Linked DNA regions of Oreochromis niloticus. The protein of the gene in region 1 purifies or fractionates together with the protein of each later gene. This does not show direct contact. Links are inferred from orthologs where the notes say so. Each region holds a gene or a part of one and is shown on either strand. Other genes may lie near its edges. The genes, in order: esyt1a and atl3.

What was found.
Region 2: the proteins of esyt1a (region 1) and atl3 purify together in Homo sapiens (affinity purification with mass spectrometry; 3 studies listed by BioGRID and IntAct, with this or other methods). This does not show direct contact. The link is inferred for Oreochromis niloticus from reciprocal best matches to the Homo sapiens genes ESYT1 and ATL3.

Annotation. Positions count from the first base shown.
Region 1 is NC_031984.2:19,574,139-19,584,526, forward strand, and holds the start of esyt1a (extended synaptotagmin-1), read right to left. Parts: upstream 4,592-10,388; 5' UTR 3,962-4,591; coding exon 3,641-3,961; intron 2,855-3,640; coding exon 2,813-2,854; intron 1,149-2,812; coding exon 1,014-1,148; intron 880-1,013; coding exon 806-879; intron 555-805; coding exon 482-554; intron 391-481; coding exon 301-390; intron 209-300; coding exon 153-208; intron 1-152. UniProt on the Homo sapiens protein: Binds calcium (via the C2 domains) and translocates to sites of contact between the endoplasmic reticulum and the cell membrane in response to increased cytosolic calcium levels.
Region 2 is NC_031966.2:20,296,117-20,305,762, reverse strand, and holds the start of atl3 (atlastin-3), read right to left. Parts: upstream 3,783-9,646; 5' UTR 3,622-3,782; intron 1,246-3,621; 5' UTR 1,226-1,245; coding exon 1,022-1,225; intron 431-1,021; coding exon 296-430; intron 1-295. Other genes in the region: si:ch211-145o7.3 (forkhead box protein N2), read right to left, coding at 6,646-6,977, 7,310-7,389, 8,353-8,474, 8,641-9,228. UniProt on the Homo sapiens protein: Atlastin-3 (ATL3) is a membrane-anchored GTPase that mediates the GTP-dependent fusion of endoplasmic reticulum (ER) membranes, maintaining the continuous ER network. It facilitates the formation of three-way junctions where ER tubules intersect.

The DNA.
Region 1 (10,388 bases):
ATTCCAAGAAAAGCCTCTCTACTACCAGCGACTAAATAAATAATAACCTCTCTGAAACGTGTAAATAAGGTCCATAACGTGCAACTCAAACTTTTTCGGCAGGTTGCACAACTCGAGTGAGCATAAAGATCAACTCCATCATACAGACTCACTTCAATCCAGGGATATCCAAGAGGTTGGTAAGTCCAGTCCAGTTGATGTCCAGTTTCTACACATATGATACAGACAAATAGACATGAATAAGTAAAAGGCCTTGCATTACTGCAAAGTGCAAAGTCATTAAACAAAAAAAACACTCACAGGCCTGCGAATGAAGAACATTGTGACAGCTCCAACCAGCGGTACGTTTCCAATCAGAGGCTCAAGGATCACACGCAGCATCCCGTGGAGCTGCAAAGCGAAAATTAGATTCTGAAAATGTGTTTTCAGGCCACTTAATTACAGCAGCAATGTGAGAATGTCCCAGTGATTCTTCTCGTACCTGGACTCCTTTTACTCCAGCTTTGCAAAAGTACTTTTTGATTTCAACATTGATCTCAACATCACCGGCATAGCTGTAACAGAAGGGAAGCGACAGATCTAAAGATAAGTGTTTAAACAAAGGAAACAGCTTGTGTGAGTTATGACAGAGCTGTTTTCTTTCTGTATTAAGTAAACACTGTTCTGTTGTTCAAGACAGGGCCAAGCCCTTGCAGGAAGCTTTAGAACACTTACAAGAACATTTTAGAGTTTGACTTGACCAACCTATTTGGGCAGATAGACAGAGGTATAACATATGAAATTAATCTCTGATGTGTTGGATTACCTTAAGTACAAATCCAACATAACTTGTCTCTTATCATTTTCCGTATGAGCCTTTACGCCAGCCACCTTCAGCGCCTGTGAACACAGCAGCTGCTATTAAGCAAACAAGACTGACAGAGACTTGATGACACCACATTAGCAGAAAAAGTCAACTGTAATAAACTGAAATTGCTGTGTGTGTGGGTGTGTGTGACAGGCCGCTCAGATACCTTGTCGCCTATGTTAACCTTGGTGAAGCTCAGAGTCTGCAGATGAATGCTAGAAGTACGGATGGCAGGAGCAACGATTTCCACAAGTAACTTCTCCAGATACTGGCCAATAAAGGGCCAAGCCTGCTGCAGGATCTGTAGAACACAACATATGGCCACTGGTAAGGTTTTTATGTTTGAATAAGGAAAAGAGAAGCTACCTCTACAAGAGCAGTATGAGACTGCACACCTCCACTGAGGAAAACAAAGCTCCCTTCATACCACACACTAATTGAAGATTGCATACAGAGAAGGACGTCAAGATTAAGATTATTTTATATTTTCCTAACAAGACATCAAACAATGTTTCCCATTTTTACATTTCTTCACATTTCTGTCCGATATGTATTTATGTAGACATTATGCAAAATTTCCAATTATGAAAACACATTTCTAGATCGAGATCACATCTACATTTAATCGAGCTCCACCTCTGCTAACAAACAGACAAACCACACCAATTGCACAACCTCCTTGTTAATCAGATTAGAATGCAATCCATATCAATGTAACAAGTTCAAGTGAGGATATGGGTTGCATTCTAATTTTATTAACTCTGTCAGAGAGGTTATGTAATTGGTTTGGTTTGTCTGTTCATAAAATAATTTCAAAGAAAATTGATGGAAGTAAAAAATGAGAAAAAAGTCTATTCCAGCTGTCATGGGACAAGAGGTAGACTAGAGAGAGAGAGAACCCGTGCAGACATGGGGAGAACATGCAAACTCCAAGTATTTACATCCAGGACTTGCTTATTGAGAGCCACCCAAGTGTTAAGGAAATAATTCATAAATTATTGTTCTGTAGACTAAAACCTTAGTGCAGTAAATTGAATTTAATATATTTACAGGGAGTCTGTGTGATGCCTTACTTTCACCAGTCTTATCAGTCCACAGAGCATCACACTGGTGTTATCTTCAGCATTTCAGTGAGAGAAGTGCAGCAGTGGTGCCAAATCCTTTTAGCTACAGTTTACCAATCCTCTGACCTCTACACTGTGACTACACTGTCACTAGTCATTACTAACATTTTGCAGCTCACCTGTGCATTATTTATGTTACACTCATGCACATGCTTATAACAGTGCAACCCCGTACGTTGTTTTTCATATGCACATGCAATACTTTTTAAAAGTTCACACATGCAACAAAAGGTGAGAACATTTTGAGGCTCCCTCGACTTGTTTACAGCTGGAAGTGAGGTGCTAGGTCATGTGTCAGGAAACCTGCAGGCGAGACGTGGGCAGGGTGACAGATGAGTCCAGCAAATTGCTATCCCACAGTCTGGGCTTCTGTCATCGAGTTCATTGTATTTTTTCCCCCTCCAAATGGGTGTTTTGTATTATTAGTATTCACATCCACGCTTTCTCTGTGCCTACGTGAAGCTGCTGCACTGACAGAGACAAAGAAGCTGCGATATGATCCCGGCCACTCTCACTGCCTCTTAATCACACCAGCAGATTATCTGCACTGATGGAGAGCCTGCAACTGGAGCCGGGTCCCTTAAAGTCCACACAAGCGCTCTTTATCTTAATATTAAATTGGAGACACTGAAGCTAATATACAAGTTAATCAAGTGAATCGTGAACGCCTTATCTTCAGTTTGGGCTTTTTGCAGCTTCCTTTGCTTTGCTAAGACATCAAATGAAGAAATTATGCAAAGAGTTGCATGCTGAACCAGATGTTTCAAAAAATATGAATTTCTCATAGAAATCTATACCATTGCACACATGCAAAGTTATGCAGGAAATAAAAAAAACATACCTTATTGACCCACTCAACTTTTTCCACATCTGGAAAGTTGACCTGTGAACAATAGTGTAAATAAAATATTATTGTTTTTGTTTACTTTTTTATTTGAACATAAATTGATTAAAAAAAAGAGTTTAATCTCAATGCACTTATTTGTTACGTCATCTTATTTCTACTAAAAGTATATACATTTATGTTAACGCTAAAAGAGATGAAAAACAAGTAACACTAATATTGTCACTAAAAATATTTCAGGAAACCATAAACCGCATGATGCACATTTAACATCACAAGGACACACACACAGACACACACACAGACACACACACACAGACACACACACACACACCCTCCGGCTCTCTTTCCAGATATGGTGGTCTTTGCTTCTGCTGTGAATGTTGTTTATGACTCATCAGGTTTTTTAGGAGCCAGATAAGGTCAACAGTAGTGAAACGGGAAGAGGAAAGCCCTCGGATAATTTCTCATACCACTGGATGAAATGACTTGTTCACTAGAATCACAGATTGCTGTTTCACAAGTTCCTCTAAAGCTCACTGCCAGGCTTCCACCTTTCTACTACAAAGTCATCATCATGACATGTTAGTTCACATTCTGTGAGAAGGCAGCAGTTCAGACTAATGCGCATATCAACATTATCAACTATCGCTTCTATTCGTGAGAGTGCCGTGAAGTAAAAGTCGACCTGACTTTGTGTTTTCACTTGAAGAACTATAAAAATGAATAATATTGCCACAAGTATCAGCCTGACATTTGTGGCAGATGTGGCGTGTGATGCACTCCGCAGAGAATGACCATAACAGAAGGGGTGTCAGTACTCACCCAGGGAGGCAAATCTCTTTTGGCTCTGAAAACCGTTTGAGTGGTGAATTCCTTCTCGTTCTCCAGGAGGTACATGGCAGACTTGAGCCTCATCACTTTCCCTTGTCGCCCGTGTTTCCATCCCATGTAGATCACCAGACCGAACAGAACAATGGTGACGCTGAAGCCATAATATCCGGCCAGGTACACTGGTAGCAGAGCACCCAGGCATTTCCCAAACGACCACAGCACACTCACTGCGCGTTCACCCTGGGGTTGGTTCTCTGAGACCGGGGCTAGAGGCTCCGTGCCGATGCTCGGCTCTGCATCCGCGGTTGGCATGGCAAGATCAGACTTCACTAGCTCGATCTGGTCTTCAGCTTTTCGGCTTCTTCTTCTTGAGTGGCAAGGGATAGGGGTCAACTCACTGCCGTTTCACCGCGATAACCATGGACAGGTCGGCGATAATCGGCGAGCGTCGGACTGTCACTTCATTGTCACTTTTCTTCGACGTGCACCGCGCAGTTCCGCAGGGCACTGAGGGTTATTCGTCTTGCATTTACGTGTAAAGCTCCTGAGAAGGCAGTGCAAGCACGAAGTAAGTCTCGAGAGGGCGGGCTTGGCTTCAAGCCCTCCTTCACATCCAGTAGAAACCCATACCCTAGAATTTACTTGTAGCGTCATACACTGCTCAGGCGGAGCGTATTACCGATAAGCGAACGAATGTTTATCATGTAGAAAGACACCACGGAACACTTTTGATTCACAGTAGCAGTTTATCCAAACGACACACTACAACCAGAGCAGAGTAGTACGTCTAATGCACAGGCTGCTCACCCCGTTATCTTTCTTTGCATGACCGAAATAAATCCTCCTGTTCGCGCAAGCGCCCATCCCCACTGCAGTATGCAGCAGCAGCTTTAACAGATGATCATGAAGGCACCAACAACTGATAAACATGTGCTCAGTTCCTTTATCGACAGGTCTGTATCAGCTGCAGGTGTTGTTTTTTTGTTTTTTGTTTTTTTTACAAGATTGGGTCCAGTAGGCACAGTCGTGACACCTCCGGGATCTGCGCCATCTGACTCTGGCGTAATAATTACGCACCTGTTAAAAACAAACAAATAATAATAATAACAACTAATGGTGAATTTGTCATGTCATGTGTCTTTCCACTCCCACTCCCTTTTTTTCTTAATAGCTTCATTTATGGCTAGAAAAACAGGCCAGGTTTTAAATACCCCCCTGTTGCCTTGGATACAGGCAGTTATCAGTATTTGCTTGGAGGGATACGGGTTTGATGATCCTTTGTGTACATAGACAGGAAGAACACACTGTCAATAAACAGCCAAGTCCTATAAAGTAACAAAATTTCACTGTGAGAGCCCACGAAATGCGGAGATCATGTTTTATGAAGCTTGTTATTCTCAGAATTTGAAGGGTTTTATTAGAGCCACAATTTCTGTTCTTATAACCGCCACAAACCACAAACCCATCTTTATCGCTTACATTCGATTTTGGCATGTTATAGCTTGATATTTAGACCCTATTTGCCTCCTCCCCCCCAAAGATTTTTATTTTTCTAAACACAAAACACAAATTCAGAGTGTCAAAGTGCAAAATAGTTCCAGACTTCTTTTTTTTTAATTGCTCAACTCTAGTGTTGAATATAGAGCAGCGTGCATTGCATACTCTGGAATAATAGAGCAATGTTCAACGAACACATACAACATTCTTTTCTCCATGTGTATTTAGGAGTGTTTATTTCATGTTTTAGGCCTGTTTATTTACTTATTATATACAGTGTATTAAAATGTACCGCTAAGTGAAATGTATACGTGAATTTGCTGATCTAAACGCAGTCAATCACAAAGTGAAACAGCCATTAACAGTATATTTGAGCCATCCGTGAACTATGTTATTTGTTTCAAACAGTGTTTCTTATGTTCACAGCTGAATGTAAAAATCATCAAAATGTCCTCAAGTCGTCCCCACAAAAAGGAACCAAACACATTAAAGAAAACAAGTGCTTGATTGCATCTCATAACCTAAGATAAAAAACCAAAAAGTGCTCTGTAGCTCTACAGCAGAAGCAGAAATAGTGGTCACAGGGTGATGAGTGATCTGTGAGGAAATGATGTGGGCAGAGAAATGCAAGAAGTGTCAAAGTTAAAGCACACATGTCATCTGATCGTCTGTCTGGCTTTGCCAAGTACTTATCAACGTTGGTTTACCTACCAGCGTGAGAGCAGACATGTTGCATGTTGTTGTTCAAGTAATATTCAAGCTTGTGTAATCAATATTTTCCCCTATACAGGAAATTTCACAATTACAGAAGATGCCGTTTATTTTTTAAGGTCATTATCTTTAATAATAATTTGTGGATTGGTCAAGAAATATTTTAGGAATCTTTAATGAGGATACTGCACATACATGTCTTATCTTCTTGATTTAGTTGTTAAAAGAATGAAAACTGCATGTTCTCTTCCCACAACCTCACTAAATATGTTCATTTCACTGCCATGTCTTCAGTTCTTTCCTCCTCCTGGGGGCAAACCTTGATTCTCTATTATGAGCCGAGTGGTTTCTGTCATATTTTAGATCTGTTACAAACAAAATGAGTGAGTGTGCATCAGAAGTGAGAGTGCTTATACAGCTACTGGGGCTACCTCTGGACAAACTCAGAACAAAGCTCATCAATATGGTCGTCAAATCTCGTCTTTATTGGGGGAAAGAGCTTTACCTCCCTACAATTTTGTGATCAGGACTGTAAGCAGTGAGTGCTTCTCCAGTTACATTTACTACACACTATTGTCCTTTGCGTTCTCCAGCAATGGCCTCATTATACGTCACCTTGTAGCCAAGGAGAGAATGAATTAGTGGACCGGCTTCAAGGGTAAAAACATTACAGACATATTTCACAAGTTTGTCCTTTGAGTCAGCTTTGTCCAAAGGTTAAAACATTCACACACCCACTTAAATCATGGTTTATGGACAGCATCTAAAATGATTTACTTTCTATTTTAATTATCTGTAGCTTTGCATTACAGGCCTGTCTGTAAGCAAGTCAGGTCCCTAGATATGCACCTGCCACATGATCTGAACTGCAAAACTGAGAAGTCATTCTAGAAGCACGGCCTATTCATCTTGAAACAACCCCAGGCACGTATTTCAGTGGCCACCGGGTAAAAATTGCATGTACAGAAACACGTGTCACATCTTTTAAAAAGCCCTTCAGAGTTTTTGTTTAAAATCTATTTTGCTTAAAAAAGGTTTTAAAAAACTTTCCCCCCTCTGAGTTGTACTTCTATCCCCATCTTTGCTGTTGCAAAATCTTCCATACATTTCCATTCAGCATTCTGAGCGCCACCTCTCGTATGTCATAGCTTTACAACCGCTAAGTGAGGATGTTAATATCTAACTGAATGGGACTTATTTTTGTCAGTCTTACTCATGAAAATTAATTAGAGGAGATAAAATTCAAATATCCATGGTAGATCAGCTGTCTTGTCATTCATAGACAGTACATATATACAGGATCCTCAGGTTTTAAAGAGTGATGACACAGACATATTTAATGTACATTTACACAACTTTACAAAGAAATTTTAATTTTCCATAAATTTGCCCAAGCACTAGAAAAATCCCACCACTTTCTATATAAGACTTCTTTTTACCTATATTATCTTAACCCCCAACATTCTCATATGGTTAAGTTTAGGCTGGATTTTAGCTACAAGCTCAATTTTTTTCTTTAGAAAATGTTCTCACAGTTTGAAGGTTTCTATTTGGCAAAATCTAATAAGGAAAATGTCTATATAAAAGGGGGGTAGATGTGAACCTAACACACTTCATTCCCACCCTTAAGCCGGTCCCAAACCCTAAAATGCACAAGCAATGCTCCAAAGTATGAAACATTAGTAAGGCGGTGATCTTGTATTAAGATGGCTTGCCATACTGTACTCGAGTACTACAGGTTGATCAGTCGGTGCAGTTTGTAGGTTTACTGACTTAGTTCGAGACCCTTTGAAAAGATTGCTTAAATATAAAGAAAGAACATTATTCAAGTCTTCTTTTTTAACCAAAACCTTTAATCACAGTATAAACAAAAACATATGACAAAAGCTGAGGAGTTGAGAACAAAGAGTTCAGAATGTCCCAGAGGAAAAGCCGTCGTCCAGCAGATGTTCGATCACAGCTCCAAGCGTGAGCCAGCAGCTGCTGCCTCTGGTAGAAGTGGATGCTCCAGGTCTCAGACTTGACTTGGGAGGGTCCTGGGTCTCCAGCTGTGCTCACCGGTCCCGTTGTTGTTGTCGGCGGCATGTGACGTCACAGCCATGGCGGAGAGCACAGTTCACTTGGACCTCTGCCTCATCTTTCTCCTTTTGCGCTTCAGCCTGTACAGAAGTCGTCACAAAGTTCAGTCACACTTCAGGTGTTATAAAAAAATAAAAATTTTAAAAGGGTGTGAATGCAAAAGGGATTACTGTACGGCTATAAAAACGGACTCTTACCTGCGCATGCGCTTCTTTCGCCACTACGGAAAAGAGACAATGTTCAATTAGTAACACTTTTATAGAAATTGGCAAAAATATTTCATTATGGACTGCAGCTGCCAACATCTGTTTAAGAATGACTTTAAATTCTGATGGCTGTGCTAGCCCGTCAAACTGCACAAGCTTGCTGACTAGCTAACAAATGTAGCCCCGCTGGAAACTGTATTTATCTCATGACAGAGACACAAAACACCAACCTTAGCTCTCATGTCGACGTGGGAATGCTGCAAACAGAAAGAAAATGTTACGGATACGTTCGATTGACTTAATATTAAGACGATTAACTTGGATTCTTACACCAACGATTCCCACTCACCGATCGCTACGGAATCGTCTCCACGAAGGACGTCATAACGTTGAGACGTCCCATTTATATGGCCTCCTACGTCATTATCAATGGACGCCAGCGAAACATGGGAAATTGAGTTTTCAAGGTGGCAAGGATCATAAAATTAGTGGGTTATTGGACCATTTATTTTTAAATAATACTTACACAGCGCGCATGTGCGAGAGATCGCATCAAATCTTACTTATAATAGACTCACTCCCACCTCTGCACCCGTCCACGATATTCCTACATTTAAACTTTGCCACTGAACGTACCTTCCCCCTTTTCTCCTCAGTCTTTCCCAACAGTAGCATATTTTCCACCTACAACCTGCTAGTTTATTGCACTGGTAGGCATCATTGGAAAACCTTGCTTTGGTTGATCCAGTATGGAGATCTCATTCTTGAGGATTTTTGATTTTTATGTGCTGTCACAGGAAGGTTTGATCTTTCTCCTGTAGATAGATCAATATAGATGGATCTGTATCTGCTCCTTTGTACATGGAGGAACAGGTGTACTGCCAGATCCCTTCAAAATGACCTCCAGTGGCTATTTACACCGGTCAAAAGTTTTAGGACACCCCAATTTTTCCATTTTTTAGTAGAAAATTATGGAGTTTAATGTCTCATTGCACTCTGAAATTAAAGCATAGCACAAATAAGCAACTGGAGTGAGAAACGATATCATGGAATCAATTTATAGACCAAAGTGTATTCTAAACGTTTGACTCATCAAAGTAGCCACCTTTGGCAGATATAACAGCTGAACACGCCCGCAAAAGCTCCCATAAATGTGTTCAGTTCATCCCAAATCAGCTCGATAAGATGCCAATGACGCAAGCTGTTAACTCTCAGAAACTTGTCCTCTGATTCATTTGGGGTTTGGGGTTTGCCAGACCTCTTCCTCTGTCAGTTTGCCCCAGTTTCTGAGTGGCTTTTGATGGTAAAGGAAACTGTACTCACGCACACCTTTACTTTCTTTGCAATTTCTCTGCAGGAAAGACCTACATTTTTAAGTGTTATGATGGTCTGTCGCTCTTCCATTGTTAATTGCCTTTTTCCTCACCATTTCTGTAGCAACACACTAATTTCAGCAGTACAATACTGTTCAACTGATGCTCACAGAGTTTTATGCAGAGGGGGTTTTGTAAGTAATCCAGGAAAGTTGGAACCCCTGCAGGAATTAGTAGCATCAGCTTTCAAGGCTTGATCAACCTCCATTGCTGCAGAACAGCTTTAAATTGTTATCCCATTTTGCATTACCTGAAAAAGGCCTTTTTGTATAATTCTGAAATGTACATTTTCAATTTCGGGTAACATTACCCTTTTTTAACCTCTGGCAGTTCACCACTTACCTTTGTACCATTTTAAGCTATCACCGGACTTGAACGACTTGAATTGCAATAAATAACTGGAGGGTGGGGTGTTCTTTTGACCGGTAGTGTGTGTATACTCCATGAAGAGGCATGGGGGTCCTGTGACCACACCCCAGCACTATGGAGTCACCAGAACTGGCAGGTCCACCAATAATGCCCGTTCACTTCACATATGAAACACTGAGCATGTGTGACAGGCATGAAAGAGTCTGCCTGCAACATCATTCAGCATGACCAGTTTGGTAGAGGGTCAGAGGGTGATAGAGTGAAAAGGTATCTTTGGATGGTCGCACAAACCTACACATGCTAACCTATACCAAAGCCAGACTTCTGTTGCTCCAGTCGCAGTAAGCCTCCTGGTATAGGGTAAAACCCAGCCTCACATGAACAGAGGCACAGTTCTTGGATGACAAACTCACTGGAAGATCACATATTCAGATCCAAGTCTAGGATATAAGGCCCAGGACACCATCTGCTGTCTCAAGTGGAGCATGTCTCGGTGTTAACAGA
Region 2 (9,646 bases), on another chromosome or scaffold:
TGCAGGGATCTGTCCACTGCATTTATAAACCTTTGTTACTTAATCATCACTTTTTAATAATATAAAATACAAACCTACAAAATGTCGTTTATTCCTTTACAGCTAGAGTAATAAAGTAATAAGCACAGACTAAAGGTTAGAGGAAAGGCTGAGACCAGAAATTACTATGGCACTGAAAAACTAAAACAATGAATGAACATCAGCTCAATATTTCAATATGAATTCCATTAGTAAATCTGAGTGCTTACATGTTTACTCTCTTAAAACAAATAATCACACATAAATGTTAGAGTACCTCTTCACCATCGCTCTTTTGGACAAGGAAAACTTCGCTCCACAGCTGGATGCCTGATGTTTCTGGTTCTGACCCTCCTCTCCAAGAAAACCCGGTCAGAGGCTCGTTATCGTTACCCATCCATTTCTCCTCGTCCTAACACAGAAATGCAAACTTCACTTTTAAACCCCCATCACAGCAAAGCCGAGGCCTTCAGGTAAAGCTTCAGTGCTATTCACTCAGCCATACCCTGAATTATGAATGGAGATCCCAATTGTTTTGTATAATTTACATAACAAATAAGTACCCAGTGGAGTGTAAAGTGTTCAGTGACTGAAAGATGTCATAATAGTCATGTTGTGAGGCCAGATGGTGGCACTATGGTAAAAGTAATGAATAAAAGTAATGAAATTAAGAGAGGGCATTCACAGACTCTACTCCTTAGTGGTCATGGCAAAATTCTCATTTACTCCTAGTCAGTAAACTAGTTAGTTCACATGTTAGAGCAGGGAGGGGCACATCTGTCCTCATGCAATCCACACACCAGGACTAATTCTACAGGTTATCACACCTTTAGGACAAAAATCTATCTCTAGCACCCTGCTCTGAAGCTTAGCTTCACACAATGAGAGTCCAGCATCTGATACTGTAAGTGCACTTCAGCTGATCTCTGAAGTGCACTTTAGCTGATCTTACAGAGATATGATGATGAGACACGCTGAAGGATCAGGTTACAGCACGTCTCACCTGTCTGTGCATGTATCGAAGCATGAAGTCGAGCAGAAAGCTCTTCCCCTTCCTGAAGGCTCCGGCCACTGACACCACCACCACGCGTTTGTCTCGGACCTTGGGGTTCAGCAGGATCTGACTCAAAGCATTGAGCTCCAAGGTGAAAGAGTGATCGTCCTTACACACATTGACAATCTGAACTGGGCCTGGTTCGCTCCCCATTATTCTTGATGTTCTGGTCCCTGTGCGAGATCACAAACAAAGAAACACCAAAACAAAATCAACACTAATTATGAATTTTTATAATTGAATGTTTTTCTTTTTTTCTTGAAAAAAAGAAAAAACAAGCATATACTATGCCATTCTTGAACAGTAAATCAGAGCAAAACTCATGAAGCAACAGATGAAATTCACCTACTAACACACTGCCACATGCAATATGGCACGATATACTCCAATATGTTGGGCAATAGATTGGTGCATCTTAGCTGAACATTATTATATAGCAACAATCATACTACTTGGAACATTAAATTGTTCTTAGTATTTCAGAAACTGCTGATGTACTCTGATTTTCCCACATAACCATCTGTAGGGTTTGCAGAAGATGATTTGAAAGATCTTCTGAAAAAGAGAAACTATTCAGTAAGCAGCAATGTGCTTGGTGAAGCTGGAGCAGAAAAACAAGACTGTCTGGAAATGACAGGAAGACATCAGTAATAAGCATTTGTTACGACAAAGGTATGCAGAAGAGCATCTATAAATTTGTCTTGTCGTCCTGCCATCACCCCAACCGGTTGCGGCAGATAAATAGGAAACAGGGGCTACAATTCACACTGGCTCAAGAATCTTGCCGGGGCTGATGATGAGTCTCAATTTCTGCAGCAAAATTTGGATGGAAGGATCAGAATTTGGCATAAACACCAATAAAGCACAGATCCATTATGATTTGAATTAACAGTTCTAGCTGGTGGCAGTGATGTAATGTTGTGGGGGATATCTTCTTGGCATAGTCTGCCCTCCTTAGGGCCAGCTGAGCACTGCTTAAATGCCACAGCCTTCCTGAGTGTTGTTGCTGACCATGCCCATCCCTTTATGACCACAGTGTATGCATCTTCTGATGGCCACCTCCAGCAGGATGATGCAGCATGTCACAATGCTCAAATAATCTCAAAGAAGTTTTCTGAATATGACAATGAGTCCATTATATTCAAATATTTGGCCTCCACACCATATTGAAGCCAACAGAGCACCTTTAGGATGAATCAGGAGATTCGCATTATGGCAGCGGACAAATCTGCAGTAACCGTGTGGTGCCATCATGTCAACATGGACCAAAATCTCTGAGGAATGTTTCGAGCATCTTGATATGCCACGAAGATTTAAGACAGCTCTGGGACCAAAAAGAAGGTCCAACTCAGTAATAAAGTGGTCAGTGAGGGTAGTAATAAACTGATTTTTATATTCTGGGCCTCTGTATGTTTTTGGTTTGTTTTTTAATCTTCTCCTTTTTGCCAGGAAAGTGGTTCAGTTGTCTTTACAAATAAATAATACCTAAACTGCATTAAAGCCTTTCAGCTCTTTGTTGCACTCGTTTTGTAGATTTTGCCCACAAAAACCTGATGTACTGAGTTACAAAATCAGCCAACATATTTGTGCAATGCTGATACAATCCTATGACATTTGTGCTAACAAACTAGAGAAGCTAACGAGAAAATATCGCCTATGTCTGCCTATCACCAGAGAAGAAATCATTCAAAAATTTGTTCAAGTTGGTCACAAGAAAACTATTAGGAAAGCTTCATTCATCATTAGCTGAATGTATGATGACAACAGACATCTCCAGCTTCACTAAGACTTCACTTATGCTTCCTGGGCTTGCTGACAGAAATCAGGCGTGCACTGGTCCCTCCATCAGGGACAATATCAGGCTCTGTGTGAAGCTGACGGAGGGCTCCTCTTATGGGTGTCACGCTGCTTTGCCTGAAGCATGCTTTCCCTGCTACCCCTGATGGTTTCAATACACTCCACTGTCGCTGATTTTGCAGGGTGGATGTCTTTTCCCGCGATGAGTAAGACAGGGAGGTGTCTGGATACAAGCTTATAATACCCAGAAAGCTGCCTGCTTTCGGTTAATGCTCACTACCTCAAAGGTGTGGCGGTGAGGAGCAGCATACCAACCATTTCTCTGCAGTGACTGTGTTCATAAGCCTTGATGCTACCAAGCAGAAAAAAATATGCATTTCAGACCAAATCTGCTTGCACTTTGCAATCTAAAAACGAGATAAACTAAGTGTACGAGACTGATCTGTTATGAAGCTACATGACATTAGCACTGAACTGACAGCTCTGCGAAGAGCACAGCTAACCCGAACTGTACTGACATCGACCTGAACTTCTCCGAAAAGCTAAATAACAAACTACAGCTCACAGTCACTGAGCTAACGTACAAGTTAACGGATGCAGCTAAATTCTTGTGTGGCTACAAGCTTTCAAACACCAGCAAAACGCTGACATACGTTACCGTTGTTAGCTAAAAAAAAGTGTTAAAACATCTAAAACTAGCTTTTAAAAACGCTTCTGCGCTCTTTAGCTCCTGTTTAGTGATTTAATGTTACCTTTGGTGTCTCCAAACAGCTTCGGCACAGTCTTCTGAGAGTCGCCAAACCAGAGAAACGTAACTTTTTACACTGGCATGAAAATAACCATTAGAACTTTTTTCCATCAACAAACTTCCACACACTTCCTGCCTCCAGCCTGCGAAATGCCACAAGGGAAATGTAGTTTTACAACAGGTTTCTCTGCCGGCGCTCCAGTATCTCTATGAACTACACGTCCCAACTAGCCAAATGTCTAACAGCTCTGGGAAATGTAGTTTTTACCGTCAAGTTACGAATACGGAACTACCAGACAGGTAATGTAAAACAGTCCCGGGTGTTTTGCGTTTATACAAATAATAGCCTAAGGATTTGCGCAGAGGAAACTGAACAGACACAGCAGGTTTGCAAAAGGGCTTTGTTTTGTTTTGTTTGGGTTGTTTTTCATTGTCACATATGTGTGTCTGCGTTAAGTAAGCCGTGGCTGTTGCGCCCTCTCCCGGTGCAGCCAATCACTGTCTATAAAGCCACCAGGTAAAACTCATCACACAGAGACACCCAAACATATCCAGCAGCATTTTAAAGCAAACCTGAAGCCGATAGACTCAGAAAATTAACATTTAAAGCTAACAAGATTATTATTTTTAAACAAACAGTCAAACTAACTAGAGAAGAAACAAAAAACAACCACAATGACATACAGATGGAAACGTTCCTTCCTCGTACCTGTAGTTACTTTGTTTTTTACTTGCCAAGCAGCCTACTGATTTATAATCACATTTGTATTTACTGGGCTCTTTTATTTTATTTCTCCTTTTTATTCTATTTATGGATTTTTTTTTAGCTATAAACCCATAACCCATTTGGGCTTTAAACAATGTAAAATGTGGACTAATAGACCCTTTATGTTATAATTTTCAGTTAAAAACAAATATTAAACCTTAAAGAAATTCGATTTGTACAGTTCAGGCATCAAAAGTGTTTCAGTCGTGGATGCTTGGTGCATCTCACTAATATCCCAGAACCTAAAAAAGTAGACAATTTAATTAGCATACTTCATTACTAAATACTTATTCAGTTTCCAATAAAACCTCATTTATATCAATTTAAGAAAATTTGGAATTCTACCTTTTCAAGAGTCACAACTCTTTGCTCAAATACAATCTTTTATATAATAATTCAAACTATTACAAAGGCAATAGTGGTAGTATTAGTGTTTTCTCAGGAAAAAAACTGATGGGATGTAATGGACTGAAAGTCAAGGATAAACGTAGTTTTTAAAAATTAAGGAACCTTTCATTTGTCCTCTTCTGGTAAATTGGGTAACACGGTTGCATTAGTTACAGTGACACATTCTATATAATCAGAAAAGTCAAGAAAAATGCAAATATGTCAAAGAGAACTGACCTTTGGTCTACCCATGATGTTCATGCCACTTCCTCTTTACCATGCCAGCTCACTGTTTTATCTCTTCCATTTCTAGGCTACATAAGTTTCGGTCACAGGATGGCACATATGTTGTGAGACATAACTTGCAGTTCATAATTACTGTTCTTTAAAATATGTTGATCTTGAAGATAGCTAAATAATTGTAAGCGTAAACAAAATATTGAAACAGTTATATACGACATGTAATTTGGTTATCAAGAAGTTGGGCCAAAAGATAAATGTCCTTTTTTGAGGAGTTGAAATAATATTTTGGAACAACTTTTTCAACAACTGGGTCCGCATTTTGTCTCAGGTGCACACAACAAATGTATGTTTAGTATTTTGTGCATGGACTATTTTCAAATTCATGGCTGGAAAAGAAAATGTCCCATAATTGTAGAATAGTTCTTAAGCTATTTTGGGGCAAGTGCCTGATGGTCAGGCGTTAGCCCACAGAGCTACATGTCCACCACTCACATGAAGACATGTAGGGGTCCAGTGCGGTATACAGAGGGACCGGTGCACATATTAAAACTGTGAATGCACTGGCTGCACAAAATGTTTTATTTGTCCTGTACAAATCTATTCTGAATTTCTTAAATCATAACTTTGACATTATCATTAAAAACTTATTTAACCAAATCAAACTAAACCAAACCAAGCAAACTCACTGAAGCGGAAAACAAACATTAAAAACAAAATAAAACCAAAACTATAACAACCGATGCACAGCTCAGAAGAACGGCATCACAGATTTTATTTATTAGATTACAAAACCCAAAACTGTTGTAAATACATACAATTTATGAAGAGAATTTCAGTGTAACCGACATGTAAAGTGGTTAAAATGGCAGTGAGTCAATCAAACTGTTCCTGATTGAAGACATCGTGCAAATAAAATAAACTCAAGCAAAGATAATCTTGAAAATAATGGACATTAAAAACCATTAGAAATAAAATTTGAAGTACTTATTATAACTGAGAAGTGCTTCCCTGTACTTCTTAAGTACAATCTAAAATCATAGCTACATTATAAATAATTTTTTTTATCTGTTTTCTTCAACTATCAAAGCAACAGTGTTGCTGAAAACAACAAAGACTGTCAACTACAGTTTACTTTGAATGTCCTACAGAAACTTTCTTAGAAAGAAAAGACGGTCACCGCTTAGAACAAGTGAAAGAGGGTAACACATATTCATATTTTACTGGTAACGATGTGGAAGTGAGTCAATGTGCTGTTCGCTGTACATTAAACGTGAACATTTCAACAGCGTGTTAGTCACCCCTGAAAATGGGAAACTTCTCAGTCGAGAAACAGCACTCTGTATTGAGCTTGAAGCACTCCTTCCACCCCTGAGAACGATGTTAACATGTTAGAAAATCACTGTGGAATCACTTAATTTTTAATACTTTTGTCTCAGTTCTACACCTTGAAGGCTCTGTTCAGGCTGGATGGGATGCTATGGTGATATATTCAGCTTGTGTACTGGAAGCCTGAAATTATGTGGAACGATACTCCATCAGTTAATTTGATCTATACTGTAACATCACTACAGGGCAGTAAACAGGCTATAGGGCAGTGTTGTCGTACCAGGAGGGTTTCTTTGAGGATCTGAACTAATATCCACCGCCTGCGAGGTCCAGCAGTGACCCGGCGGCCTCCTGGGCCTCGGCATCAAGCTGCAGGATCTCCACGGTCTCCAGGTCGAGCTCGGTGTCGTCCGGCAGCACAAGGTACTGGTACTGCTGAGACTCGTAATAGTGCAGCTCGATGTAACCGCTGTCAGACAGGGGGTCCTTCTCCATGTCTTCGCACACCTCCTCCTGCTGGTATTCCACAGACTCCATGGTGACGAGCTCCTCATGATCCGGGGTCAGAAGGCACAGCGGGTTTTCGGCTAAAATCGGACTATCGGCGGTGGACAGGAGGAGGGTGTGAGAAAGGGGATCTGCATGAGAAAGACAACATTAACATTAATAACCCATCTTCCTGCAGCTTGGCTGAACAACCACTTGTGGGATTCTTTAGCGAGGACGTGGGCCCGTGTGGCAAAGAGGCTTGGAAATAAAACGGAGGGGGTGGGGTGGGGGCACTCATAAAAAGCCAGGCTATTGCCGGGTTGCCAAGGTAATGGAAGGCAGTTTCCATGAGAACAGAACACAAACACAGGAACAATGATGCATGCTGGGAAAGCTGCAAAACTACAGACAAGCTGCAGGTGATAAAAGTGTCACAGAGGGCTGTTACTCCGCCGATAAAACGACTGAAACAATTTCATACCGGGTCCAGTATGTAGGTCCTGACCTGATATTTCCATCGAATCACACTCAGCAGGCATCTTGTAGCTTTCTCCCTCCAACCTGCGCACAACACACATCACAGCAAGAGAGACATTAAAATTATTTAGAAACACTCCTTCACTATTCACATATTAGATTTTACTGATGTGGTGGGTAAGCAGAGAAATATACTGTGTTAAAAGAAAAATAGCATGTAGGACGACAGCTATGGATGATATTTCATCCTACTTCTGCAATATATCAGTGAATATGTTTGCTTATTTTAAAAAAAAGGCAAAAGATAGTGAAGGAATACCCAAATATTCAGTTTAATAAAGTCAGCATTTTGCATCACCTTCAGTTGCAATGACGTGGAGACCAGAGGAGTTGAGAAAGGTTTAACCTGGGACCATCGTCACTCGAAGTCACTGAATGTCACTGACTTCTCTGGAAACCACATTGCTGCGAGTCACTTCCTGTGTGGAAGCCCCTTAATGTTTCACCAGCACCGCGTTAAAAACTTACTTAGAAAGGCAGCAAAACCTTAAGAGAGGTCGATGCCTGTAAATGTTTGCATATTTTTCTTTTTAAAACTGAAGATCCTTTACACATCAACTACCGTATTGTGCAAAAATATTGAGCCACCCTCAAATCTTTATTTTGCTTCCATGTAACCGAATTTACTGTAATTTTTAAAATTAGTCCTGTCCAATAGTTCCCTCAGCTTTCTGAACGTCTTTCAAAGTTTTTCTTCGGACGTTGGCTGCCTTTTCAGTCACTCACACTCCAGGTTTTGTACCTGACCATTTTCAGAAGAATTTTTACGTTGACCTATGAATCATTCAAGCCTTAAAAAGTACCCATATTTCCATGTATGTCTGCACATATTCCAATAAATCTCTGTCTCTATTTCCCCATTTTCAGAGTAAAATATAAAGAAAAGAGGGGTGACTCATTTCTTGTTGAACAATTTGGATTTTCTGGCCGTTCCTTAGCATGGGGCGCTAAAGCTAGTTTTTACAAATCCCTATTGCAGATACTCACAGTGCAGGCTTGTGTAACAGGTTGCTGTTGTTGCTGTGATAACTGTGGGTCTTCCTGAGCACTTCGAGGAGCGCTGGCCGGTACTCTGGACACACACACCACAGCGATCCCTTCCCCACTGACTGCAACAAACAAACAAATCCATGTAACAGATGCTAGTTTTCAAAAACACAGCACAAGTCATTTTCGGGAGTTGTAACCAATGTTTTGAATTCAGACCATCTGGATTCAATGAGGAGTTCACTCAGATCAATGAGTTTGGTGTTGTTCTGTTATTTAAGCACCCACCTGGCTCTTGTCTCTCTGAATGCGTCGGAAGCTCTTGCTCAGAGACAGATTGTGTCTGACAGAGTTCCTCCAGCCACCCGTTGCCGTCCTGTAGTAGGGGAAATTGTTCACAATCCATTCATAGATGTCCTTCACTGGAAGCCTCTTTTGTGGCGAATCTTCTATTGCCATGAAAATCAGACTGCTAAAGGAGTACGGCGGCTTGGACAAAGCAGCGGGAAGAAGCTGGGAAGCCATGGAGGGCTCCTGCTGAGGCAGCGGTGTCATTTTGGTGAGGGGCTGCAGTGGCAGCAGATTCCCTCTCTGATGCAGCCAGCTGAGACAGGTCAGGTCATCTTGGTCAGCTACGCTTTGTCCTTCGAGGCAATGAGACACTGTAAAGTGTGAAAGAGGGGAGCAGGAGTGAACAGACTCTGCTGTTGCTGGAGAAAATGAGGCTGGGGATGGCGGGAAAGAGATAGGCGAAAGTGGCAGTGAAATGGGACCATTTGAGGAGGTATGCTGGGGTGAGGAGGACAACGGCAGAGGCCCTCTGATAGTGGCGGGAGAGGGGCACGAGTGTGGCAGTGTATGAGAGCTGTTTTCCATCTCACTCTCAGGGCGAAGCTTCCAGGGTCATGCAGCTGAAAGATGAGGATGAAATGAATCAGAACGAGGAAAGATGAAGTCATCAAGATACAAATTACTTCCAGGACAGGCAGGAACAGCAAGGACTGTACCTGTATTTGTAAGTTGTTGTTTATTGTTTTCAGGTATAATATACCTGACTTTAACTGCCAAACATACTAGATCACCACACACACAAACAAAAAAAAGATTGAAAATGCTGGAAAAATAAGAACTCCATAGCAGGTAAATGTTTGCCACCCGTTCCCCTCTGATGAGCATCCACTAAACGTCCAAAGTCCACTCCTACTGCTCCAGTTTAATAAAGGCAAACGAAGTCAGAGGACAAGTGCAGGTCCCAGAGAAAGTTACTGCTCATCGTAGTCTACTGACCATGACC